Linked DNA regions of Schizosaccharomyces pombe. The protein of the gene in region 1 purifies or fractionates together with the protein of each later gene. This does not show direct contact. Each region holds a gene or a part of one and is shown in the gene's direction. Other genes may lie near its edges.

Region 1 (3,757 bases):
ATTTCAATCATATTAAGTTAAACAGATCACGCACGTGTAAGCAATCCTCCTAACACACATAGAGAAAACCATTCTTCCGGGACGGCAGATAATTCTTCTACCTCTCCGTTGAAAAAAGAATTTTTATCATTCATTTCAATCTTTGTGCTAAACGTACCCGCAATTTGTTATCTAACGTATAAGGACGCTCTCTTTAAAGATTATGGCAAAGATGAATGGGTATATTTTGGAGTGTGGTGTGCTATTTGCCTGATGATTTTTATTTCTTTATGGTGTAAGTGACACGATAGGTCAATTCTTACGTTCATTCACTAACTCATTAGGCTTCTTTGAAACTTGGACCAGGCAGTGGCACAATGTGTCAAGGTAACTGCGGTCGGCTTGTACAACTCAAGGGAAAAATGGGTTGTAATAATCTGGTTATTATGGGTAGTCATTTGTTTTGTACTCTTTGGTTGCGTCAAATTCGGTAATGTGAACTTAGACAAGACTCTCATCTGTTCTACATGCAGTATTTCAGCTGCTTTACTTTTATTTTTATTATATGGTATGTGAAGTTATGTAGTTACCATTACTGACCGCTAACACGCAGTTCGTCTTCCATTCTGGACACTTAAGCATATGTTTTCTGGGTTTTTTCAAGTTCTAGGTGTACAAAGTTGTGTCGTTATTGTAACGAAAGGTTTGATGCATTTATTTGACAAACATATCGACGGGACAGGCTACGAAATTGTAGCCTCTTCACTCTTTGTTATAGGCAATTTTCTTTTCTTTTACGAAATGGGTTTGTTTAATATTCCTGTAATTTATTCTAATCGTATCAGAATGTCCAGGTGCTCTCAAAAGGATGCCCAAATTTATCAGGAATGGTATAGCTTTTATATTAGGTATGTGTATTCAACCAACTGTATGAATGATTCTTTACTTACCCGATTAGAAGGTGCAGGGAGAGCGATTAGAGGTGCCAACGATAATAATGACATTCCCTTGGGGGAAATGGAAGTTGAAAGCGAAGTCTAATTGCGTTATTAATGTAGTTGTCGCTCCAGTTGGAAAACCTCTTTACCAAAATTACCAACGCAGAGAAGCTGCGGCTTTTTTAAAAATAAGCACCAATTTTCTTTAATCATCCTCTTTCACTATAAGGTTATGGAATATATGCTTAACTTATTCTTTCAATTACCAAAAATTGCCAACCAATGTATTCTACGATGTTGGATAAAGTGCATTGAGGACCGAGTCTTTATTTATTATGTATGCGAGTCTAATTATTTGTCTTTTTTAATGGAACTCAAGTCACAAACAATAATGATTTAAATTGTTTACGACAACTTAAAATCAACTAATGAAATCGAAAAACTCGTTGTTCCGCCTTGTTAAATTCACAATTTCATTGTCGTTATTACGTTCATTTCTCCTTCATCTTGATTCTTAATGAATCAAGCTTAATTATCATTTTTTCTTTTTGTTTAATGGTTCAATTCAAACAAAATTAATGTTTACAAAATAATGAATAGCATAATAAAATATTGTGATTCAGAACGATGGTTTGTTATAGTAATAACCTAAAGACACATTGCAATAGTGAATATCTAATAACGCAGTAAACGTATATACTGGTTTTATGTTGAGTTTCCTAATGATGCATAAGCTGAGTGGGCGATATGACTTTGATTGACACATATTTTGTGGAAATTTTCAATATATAAATCAAAGAGACTAATGATTTATATTCTAATACTTTTATCCACATCGAAAGCAACAGTTCATAACCTAACTGTTGGGTCAACTGATAGAATAAAAAAAACTCGGGTGTTCGTCCCAATTATAATTATCACTACAGTTATAGTCTAAATATCTATTAACTTCAATAACTGATTTTTAACGAGTATTATATTCTTTCCTTTTTTTCAAGGTATAACGATTAATTCTTCATTGTTTCAATATTAATAAGAAGCTACTAGTTAAAGCAAGCTGGTATTATCGTTATGTTACTACCAAAAAAGGAATACCGTGCTGTTACATTTTGTTATAAAAATATACCGTTAATCACTATTTCCCAAATTACAGATATCGTACTTTACTTGGTATTTCCTCTATTTACTCTTTCTCGCTGTGCAATAAGAAGAAAAAATTTTATTATCTGTTTACAAAACATAGCTAAATTTTCTAAATTAACTTTTGTTATTGATTGTTAGTTTATGGTGGATTGTTGTTAATTGAATTAAGATCCAAAGCGCTTGCTTGTTCACATTCGTGTGAATTGCACTTTTAAAAAAAAAAAGGAAAACTTAGTTATTTATTTAATAAGCTTCTACCATAATGGTCAAGCGTCAACGTATTGAGAGCTCAAATGGTAAGTGTCTTAGTTAGTCTTAAGTATTGGCTCTCTTATATCTTTTCTAGGATAATATTCTAACAGTTCTATGACAGTTCCACTCAGTGCATTCGCTGTGCGTCAATTGACTTTAAGTAAAGCAGCCAGAAAGAAAGACAATTCATCGGGGAAAAAGCGCAGCGTTTCGGAAGAAGAAAGCCAAGACAAATATGAAGACGAAATGAAAACTGAAGGCGAATTTCCTTCTTACAAGCACACGCTCGTACAAGTGGTTGTCCCAGGAGTTGATCATAGAACAAAGCTCCATTCAGAGTCATCCAAGAATGATTCTGAAATAACTCCTGATATAAATAGGTCCAAGGTTAATCCTCAGGAATACTCTGAATTCTCAGTTGCTAGTCCTCAAACGATTTCTCCGAGTTTACCTTTAAACTTGGACGACGAAACCGTAAGTGAAAACGTTCCACATAGCCCACAATCGTCTAACGATGCCATTCCGGTGATTAAAATTACGGAAGAAAATTCATTCAGGGTTAAAGATACGCTATACGTTGGATTACATAAAGATCAAAAATTAGCAATGGTTGGTACCTTCATTTTTCGTAGCGTTAGAGGGAAGTTTCAGCTCTTTGGTGCAACCTATTCTTCAGCTTGTATGTCTTGGTTTCCTTTAAATGCTCCGTTAGCATTTGCGACACCAGTATTTTCTGCTATAGACAATGCATTACCTGCTATGCAGATTTCCGAATATGAAGAAGATTCCCTTAACCTTCGTTCCTTTGCAGTTCCCTCTTACTCACCAAAAGAGCATGAATATGAATTAGAGCCCAAAGATATTCTCCCAAATTTTGAAACTGTAATAGCTTTTAGAGAAAATGAAAATGGTCTCTCTAAGATAGCTCGTGTCCTTCCATTTGCAAAGCGTTTGTTTTCTTTTAAGAATCTTTTGCAAGATGCCTCATCAATATCAAATAATTTTGAGATAACTCCGGAGTCTTGGTGTTCTTTTTCTAACCAGTTACTGTTTTCCACTTCCAAGTCAGACTATGTTGTTCCTCGTCTTATGGTTTGTGGACCTAAAGGATCCGGTAAAAGCAGTTTTTCACGATACATCACCAATAGGCTTTTACAGCAGTATCGTCACATTGCATATCTTGACCTCGACCCTGGTCAACCCGAAGTCGTACCTTCTGGGCACATTTCATTATATTATATTAACTCACCATTGCAAGGACCTGTTTTCGCCCGAATGCTCTTTCCTACTTACATGTTACGTTTGCATCTCGGAGATATAAGTCCCCAGAAAGATCCGGATCATTACATTGCTTGTGTTACTCGTCTTTTTGCTGAATATAAAGATTATATTTTTAATCAAGAGATATCCCAAAAGGAGATTATTCCTTTGATAATAAATTGTCC
Region 2 (3,757 bases), 1.7 Mb from region 1:
TTATCGAGAAACTGACTTTTCAAGACGATTGCTTACGTGAAGCAGTTCGTGGTCACCCCCCAAAGCACTAATTTTATTAATTTTTTTTATTCTTTAAACATTTAGACGACGTCGCTGGTATATGACTATCAACCCTAAATTATCGTTTTTCTGAGAGACTATTTAGGCCATGCATAGTTCATCATTTTTTTTGATCATTAAATTAAAATAACACGAAATTCCCCACATAATGATTTCTTTTTTCTATGATTTCTAAATCGAAAATAATTTCCTTCTTTGCTTTCTTCACTTACCCTGAGCAAATACCACCTGCGTTGGCCTAAGTGGCTGATTTGTATAAATCTGCTGTTAAAAACTTTTTGGATTTCTTTTTATTTTTGTGTTTTTATAATATTTAATTTGGATTTATCCGTTTTATACTCTGTTTTGTTTTTTTCAGAAAAAAATTTAACTCCCCTTTCAAAATGAATGCAGCCAAATCTTTATCTATTGTTCCATTCTTAGATTGTTTGTCAAGGCTTAAGACTACTCCACGTACTGGCTGGCTATATCATGGCATCGAAAAGCCGGAATCCATTGCCGACCATATGTATAGAATGGGGATTTTGACTATGTTATGTAATGACCCAAGCATCAACAAGGAACGTTGTCTAAAGATTGCCGTAGTGCATGATATGGCTGAGTCAATTGTTGGTGATATAACACCTCACGAGAATGTTTCGAAAGAGGAAAAGCATCGTATGGAGTCGGAAGCGATGGTTTCTATCACCCAGCAACTGATCCCCTTAAACCTTTCCTTACAAGCTGAGGAGATTAAAGAGCTATTTTTAGAGTATGAGTCTGCTTCCACTCCCGAAGCTAAGTTTGTCAAGGACATTGATAAATTTGAAATGATTGCTCAAATGTTTGAGTACGAAAGGAAATTTAATGGTGAGAAAGATTTGTCACAGTTCACTTGGGCCGGTAAATTAATTCAACATCCTCTTGTTAAAGGTTGGCTCAATGATGTGTTACAGGAGCGTGAGCAATTTTGGGCTTCGGTCCGTCAAAAGAAGCTTTAACTGATAAGAAAAGCGATACTTTCCCTGTATTTAAGTGTGCAGTTGAGAGAAACAGTTAAGAAGAAATATTTCTTAGGAATTCGCTCTAGTATCTTCAAGGCCCATTATTCAATATACCAATAGTCTCTCTTTTTTTTTATACATAGATACATTTAATAGAAGTTCAACATTAGAGCTTAGTTTAATGGTGCTATCTTCTGATATGTTTTTACTCTTCAAATGCTTTACTTTTCTAGGTTCTATCATTTACGTTCTCCCAACTTAGCTAAATATAACTTAAATACATCTACGATTAAGTCTTGTTTCTTTATAATTATTCGTTCAATAAAAAATGAATTCTTTACAGCACATTTCAAGAAGTTCATAAAATCACTTTGCTATCTGAATTTTTTTGTAGACTTAAGCTTTGAGGTAATTTACATTCCTTGGTCATTATAAAATACTAATATTGAGTTAAACATTCTCAAGTTTAAAAGGATTTTACTTCTCAAAAATTTTTAACCTTTTCTCCCTAGCAAGACTTTCCTTAACGCACGAGTAGTTCAGAACCTACACCACAAGCTCGAGATTTAGCAAGTAATTTCTTTAAGAAAACGGAAATATTGTTTTTTTGTTACTCCGTTGAATAAAGAAATCTTAGATGAGTGATTTATTAGAACGTGGCTCTCTTCCTCTTGTGAAATCTTGGTTGGCAATAACTTTTGCGAATGAAGAAGACTTACCATTTCAGGTGCCTCAAATAGCGGACATACTGGTACATCAAAAATGTATCGAAAGATTAGGAACGAGTGAAAATGCTCTTTCCGTTCGCAAGAATTGGTGCACGAGTTTAACAAAAATGTTACAATCAAAAGACTTTCGTATTCGCTGGTCAGCTATTATTCTCATTCACTGCACTATTTCTCAAAGTTGGGATTGCTTAGTAGAGCATGGAGCTACTTGGGCAAAACTTTTAATTGCTTTGTTAAACCGACCAGAAACTCCTAAAACATTGGAGATTGCCATGATAACCGTATCAAAAATGTTTAGCTCTACTGTAGGAAGACCAGCAGTTACAAGAGAATTGGTGACTCCTAATTTACCCACATTTGTGAATAATTGCTTACGAATCGCCGAATCTGGGAAGTGTCTTTGTACTGTTTGTTCTTGTTTGTATCAAGGGATCATCTCGCATTCACCTACCTTTCGTCCATTTGTTTCCTCAATAAGGAATATTTGCATTAAAATTTTAGATGGGGAAGAAGTAGTCCCTTCTTCATTACAGAAGAAAGCAGCTGTTCTTTATGCTTCGTTGTATCGATGTGTGGGGAAAGGAAATTTTGAAGACTATTGGAAGCAAAGTATTATTTCAATCCTAAAGGAATATCATCTTACTTTGGATTTTTTGTTTCAATTTGTTATAGAACCGCAAACATACCCAACTCGTGAAGAGAATTTGATGTTTCCAAAACTCAAAGGCCACTACGAAGAAACTTATCAGAAAGCTTTACACAGATGCAGAACTCTAAACTTGATTTTAATTTCTTTTTTAAGTACAAAGACGGATAAAATCGTTTTGCTTCCCATAAATGCTTTGAAGGATTTAATTCAACGTGTTTATACTGTACAACTTTCATTGCCTGTTAAAAGCGTAGAAAGTTCAGTTCAAGCTTTGCTATTCATGGTCCTTCCTCATTTGCATACGCTAGTTAATGAGTTAACCTTAAAGCTTTTTGTGGTAATTCCTCCAGCTATCATTCTTTCATTTGATTCTTACCTGGATTCATTAAATGATTGTTTACTTTCTGAGTCAACACATACTGGGGTTTTATGCTCTTCTTTAAAGTTACTTTCAAAGTTTTTGGATGTGACACATATGAATGTCCCTCTTTCAAAATACGAAAATATTGTAACGCTGGTATTAGAATATCTTGCTAATTCCTCTAAAGGTTTAGCATCCAAATCCATAGAGTTCTCTAAAAATCGTGGGCATTCTCAAAAAAAGCGAAAAACACTTTCTGAAAGTCAAGCAGGAGATACACTTATGAGTTCGGAAGAGTCTCATCAGCTTTATGATTCAGATGTCATGGATTGTTGTTTTTCTTTTTTAGCATCCATTTTGACTCATTCAATAGCATTACCACGTTTATTACGGACCAAAATAGATCTTTGCACCTTGCAGATATCTTTGTCTAACCCTACCTCAACAGTTTTGATATCTATGCATAATTTACTCCTTGCGTCAATTTTATCACCGGGAGATTCACAAGCAGTGATAGTACCTCATGCAATACGTATAATTTCTGGTCCATTAGGGCTTGTACATCCAGATCCTCTGGTCGCTTCACACGCAAGGTCATCGATGCAAACAATAGAATCGCTGATTCATCCTAGGTTCCCACCTTTGCAAAAACATCTTTCACCAAGCGAATTTGAAAATACGTTTGAGTCAAGATTTGAGCCTGTTTCTCTTGAAAACCAATCGCATATTTCTCCACCCCAGGTGGATTCTCAATCAGAGTATAAAGAAAGTAGTATTTTGGCTCCATCAAATCCTCCCTTTGAAACAGAGTCGATTACAGATTCCACTGAAATTGAAGGGATCAAAGAGTCTTTTGCATCTACAGATACAGGCTTACAGAATAATTCTACAGCTACCTCCGAGAACAAAAGAAGCGAATCAGAGCTGACTATGTCTAATGTTCTTTCTAATGAGG
Region 3 (3,757 bases), on another chromosome or scaffold:
GGAACATCTTGAGCTACCTCCCTTTTAGAGGGATTTTCAGCTGCCAAAATGGACCCATTCAACAAGTCGACAGAATGCTCATCCATAAGATCTGATGAAAACCCTGGAGGTTTCATAGACCTCATGGTCAACTTGATTACAAAAGAGAAGTTACGATATAATTTTTTATGGGGTTTTTGGTTATGTACAAGAAACCTTCAACAATTCCCTAGTGGTGACTCTAATGTACAATTAGATGTTTCAACGCCTATATATATATGCAAATGCCAAGTCAGGAAATCAATAACAAGAAGTTCGTGGCCCCCACATTGGCCACCATAATGTTGAGGTGAGTAAACAAACCAACAATAGGTTAGCTAAAAGACAGTTGATACATCTTTATTTTTTATAAACATAAAAATCTTAAAAAAATACAGGTTATACTGAATAGACATACTCTGAATTGAACTAGCTTAACATTTAATTTTCAAATTCCAGAATGGTAAGATGTTTAAATAACTGACCAGCTTGTACATATAAGCAAAGTAGTAACTAAATGTAGTTAGTATATCAGTTTGGCCTAACGCTAATTCTTAATGCCGTAAGTTTGAAAAATATTAGCTATCTGTTTGTAACTAAGATTCATTTGATGCTTACTGAATAATTCGAATAAATCATGTGTACTTAGCATATGCCTTATTTCAACATTTTACCGTGATGTGGGATCGTGCTGATTTCTCATAGTTTATACACTAGGCAGGAACACCACCACTTCTTAATTCCTGCATCCACACTTTATCCACTTAATTATTGCCAAATTACCTAAATGAAATGATAATAAATGATTTACATTAATAATACTCATCATGGAATCATCACTTGACAGACTCAACTTTGATGAGTTTGTTGCTAAACTGTTAATTCACGAATCTAAAAAAAAGAACAAGTCGTTTGTCGACCATGGCTATATTGAAAAGGAAAAAACAAAACTTCGCCCTAATAAAGTTTTTTTGAATAATATGGTGAGAAATGTTCAATCCCATAATCGTGGAATAAATAATCGGAGACGTGACCAAAAGCGTAAGCAACTCATAAGCATTAAACAAGATAACGATTTAAATGTCTCCTCAGAAAGGTTGTCTAGGAGAATCGATGTTCCTCGGCCCACTAGTAAGAAAAAAAGACTTTATAAAGAAACGCCGGATTTAGATGAACCGGGGTCTCGTGAAAAGCGTGTTAGCCAGAAAGGGCAATTAAAAATTGAGAAAGTTTAATCTTAAATTTTTAATAATGTCTCCCAGAAAATAATAACTATATTTCTTCATTTCTGATTAATCTCTTTGTGTGGTTTCATTTGGGGATTTTATATATCACCACTTGAGCTTATCATTATACATTATACATTTTTATCCAAAAACGAATATCATTTAAAAATATCACGTTCAAATCCTTCAATTCCTATGCCTTTTGATTGAACCGTTTAGTTATTTTTAACAAACTTTAAACGGATGATCCTCATATTGACACCGAAATTTGGCTTAATCTATATTTATACATGCATTAAAATATTGTTACAAATGTTTAAGAATTAAATCAATTCTTCTGTTAGCAATAAAGTAACCTTTTCTTGGTTAATTGAAAAGCATTGCATGAAATCGTGTAGCGAAAATGTAAACATTAAACATATTTACACCACTAAAGTCAGAAATTTTCCAACAGTATAGTCGAAATCAATATACGTTTGATTGGGTACAAATAAAACTAATATAGTTTCCAAACAGCCCATTATATCAATTTGGAAACGTAAATAGCTGACTTAGATAATTTGTCTACAATTATGCTTGCTCTAGAAAATAGAGTAAACAGTCATTTTAACGAAATGCGGTTGAATTCGGTTAATTTAGCAATGTAGTCCAACACGACTTTTCTTGCAAATTTCGCTTTGTTGCTAACATTTCAGTTCAGCGATTTGCGTTTATTCAACACGCATTTCAAGGTTTATGGAGCTGCTTCTTTCTGGCTGTGAAGCTATTGAGGGTGAACCAAGTAATGTTCTATGCCACAATCTACATACCGGTACCCTGGTGAGCACATTCCGTCAAAGCTCACCTGCTAAAAACGCGACATGTACTACTTTGAATCATTTGCTATCTGCTCAACATACCCGTCCACAGCTGAATATTCACAATTTTGGAAAGGTAGGTTCTCTCTGCACTGCATTAGTTGTACGCTTACTTCGTTTATAACAGCAGTTTTACAGCTAATTTCAAGCTAAAGTAGCTAAACACATTTTAAATGAGTAAAACTAATACAAGTGTAGGAAATTTTGGATCAATCAATCATTTTACCTGAAATACTTATTTGTGTGCAATCGAGTCCTTGTGGTTCTTGGCTGGCAGCAGGCACAGAAAAAGGAAATTTGTACATATGGTCATTAAAATCCGGTGCTCTTATTTATTTCTTCAGAGCACACTACCAACCTTTGACCATTTTGAAATTTTCCAATGATGGTATGGTTTTATTCACTGCTTCCAACGATGGTGATGTATTCGCTTGGTTGATAAGCACTTTGGTAGACCAAAACTCTACTTTTGAAACAAGTAATAGTTCAGTTAAAGCGATTTCTCATTTCTCTGGTCATAAGCGTTCTATCGTGTCTATGGAAATTGGCCCTGGTCCCATCGTTAGTGGTCGACTTTACACGGCTTCGGAAGACAACACAATAAGGATTTGGGATGTTTCTACAGGAAACCTTTTGACAACGATTGCTCTTCCCTCAACTCCCAGTTGCATGACCGTGGATCCTTCCGAACGTGTTGTCTACGTTGGTAACGAAAAGGGAATAATATGGATTCCATTATACACAGGATCATCCACTTTTTCTAACAACGTTAAAGAGAAAAAAAGAGTTACGTCTGTTGATAATACTACTATTCCAAACGCCATCGGAGGTATGGGTCGAGTTGTAGATTATAACGACAGTAGAGAATCAAGTATTATATCGTGTCAATCCCCAATAACCACGTTGACTGTTTCCTTTGATGCTTCTCTACTCATTAGTGGTGATAAGGATGGTAATGTTTTGGTTTGGGATAGTGTTTCTCGACAAGTTTTGCGCCGCCTCGTTCAGTATTATTCGCCGGTCTCTTTTCTTCAATGCAAGGTCGACAAGATATCATTTTATTCAAACTCTTCACTTTCTTTTCCAGTTTTAAAGCGCATGATTACAAATGAGTACTTAAATTCAGATGTTCGAATTTGCATTCAAGATGATGGGGTAGAGCAGCTGATGCAACCGGAAAATATTCTCAAAATCAGCTCTGATATTGTCGTATGTCCACTTCTTAAAGATTTTGAACTAACATAATTTTTAGACACAAGGCTCAGAGTCCAGTTGGCGTGCCAAAGCTGAAACCAGTGAAATGCAGCTCAAGGAAGCAAAAAGATTATTTTATGAATTAAAGCAAATTCATCAAGCGTTATGGGAAAAATACCTGCAAAAGTAACTTTTTTTGTTAGGTTAAAAATTTGAATAAAATTATAAGGGATTGGAATAATTACACTTTTGTAGCAACGGGGTTCTAATTGTTGTAGCCCTTTTGTTATAATCTCATTGGAAAATTTTATTAAATATGTTGAATTAATTTTTTATCGTTAACTATTTTGTTCTCTGTCTTCAGCTTTTACTTGTATTAGTGTCGAGAGCAATCATCTCAAGCAAAACATCGCCAATGTAGTCATAGAATTCATCGATATATTTTCCTAACTTGTTAAAATT

What was found.
Region 2: the proteins of grc3 (region 1) and rix1 purify together in Schizosaccharomyces pombe (affinity purification with mass spectrometry, with the first as the bait; one study listed by BioGRID). This does not show direct contact.
Region 3: the proteins of grc3 (region 1) and crb3 purify together in Schizosaccharomyces pombe (affinity purification with western blotting; one study listed by BioGRID). This does not show direct contact.

What each region holds. Positions count from the first base shown.
Region 1 is NC_003421.2:2,181,485-2,185,241, forward strand, and holds the start of grc3 (polynucleotide kinase Grc3), read left to right. Parts: upstream 1-2,115; 5' UTR 2,116-2,322; coding exon 2,323-2,356; exon of another isoform or gene 2,357-2,433; coding exon 2,434-3,757. UniProt on the Schizosaccharomyces pombe protein: Polynucleotide 5'-kinase required for both rRNA processing and heterochromatic gene silencing.
Region 2 is NC_003421.2:436,368-440,124, reverse strand, and holds the start of rix1 (ribosome biogenesis protein Rix1), read left to right. Parts: upstream 1-1,605; 5' UTR 1,606-1,701; coding exon 1,702-3,757. Other genes in the region: rib2 (bifunctional CMP deaminase family methyltransferase/riboflavin-specific deaminase), read left to right, coding at 1-71; hdd1 (metal-dependent HD domain-containing phosphohydrolase), read left to right, coding at 465-1,061.
Region 3 is NC_003424.3:2,310,114-2,313,870, reverse strand, and holds crb3 (rixosome complex WD repeat subunit Crb3), read left to right. Parts: upstream 1-1,942; 5' UTR 1,943-1,979; coding exon 1,980-2,177; exon of another isoform or gene 2,178-2,299; coding exon 2,300-3,310; exon of another isoform or gene 3,311-3,353; coding exon 3,354-3,485; 3' UTR 3,486-3,600; downstream 3,601-3,757. Other genes in the region: teb1 (Myb family telomere binding protein), read right to left, coding at 1-125; SPOM_SPAC13G7.09C (uncharacterized protein), read left to right, coding at 846-1,253; arb2 (argonaute binding protein 2), read right to left, coding at 3,656-3,741. UniProt on the Schizosaccharomyces pombe protein: Required for both pre-rRNA processing and heterochromatic gene silencing. Component of the RIX1 complex required for processing of ITS2 sequences from 35S pre-rRNA.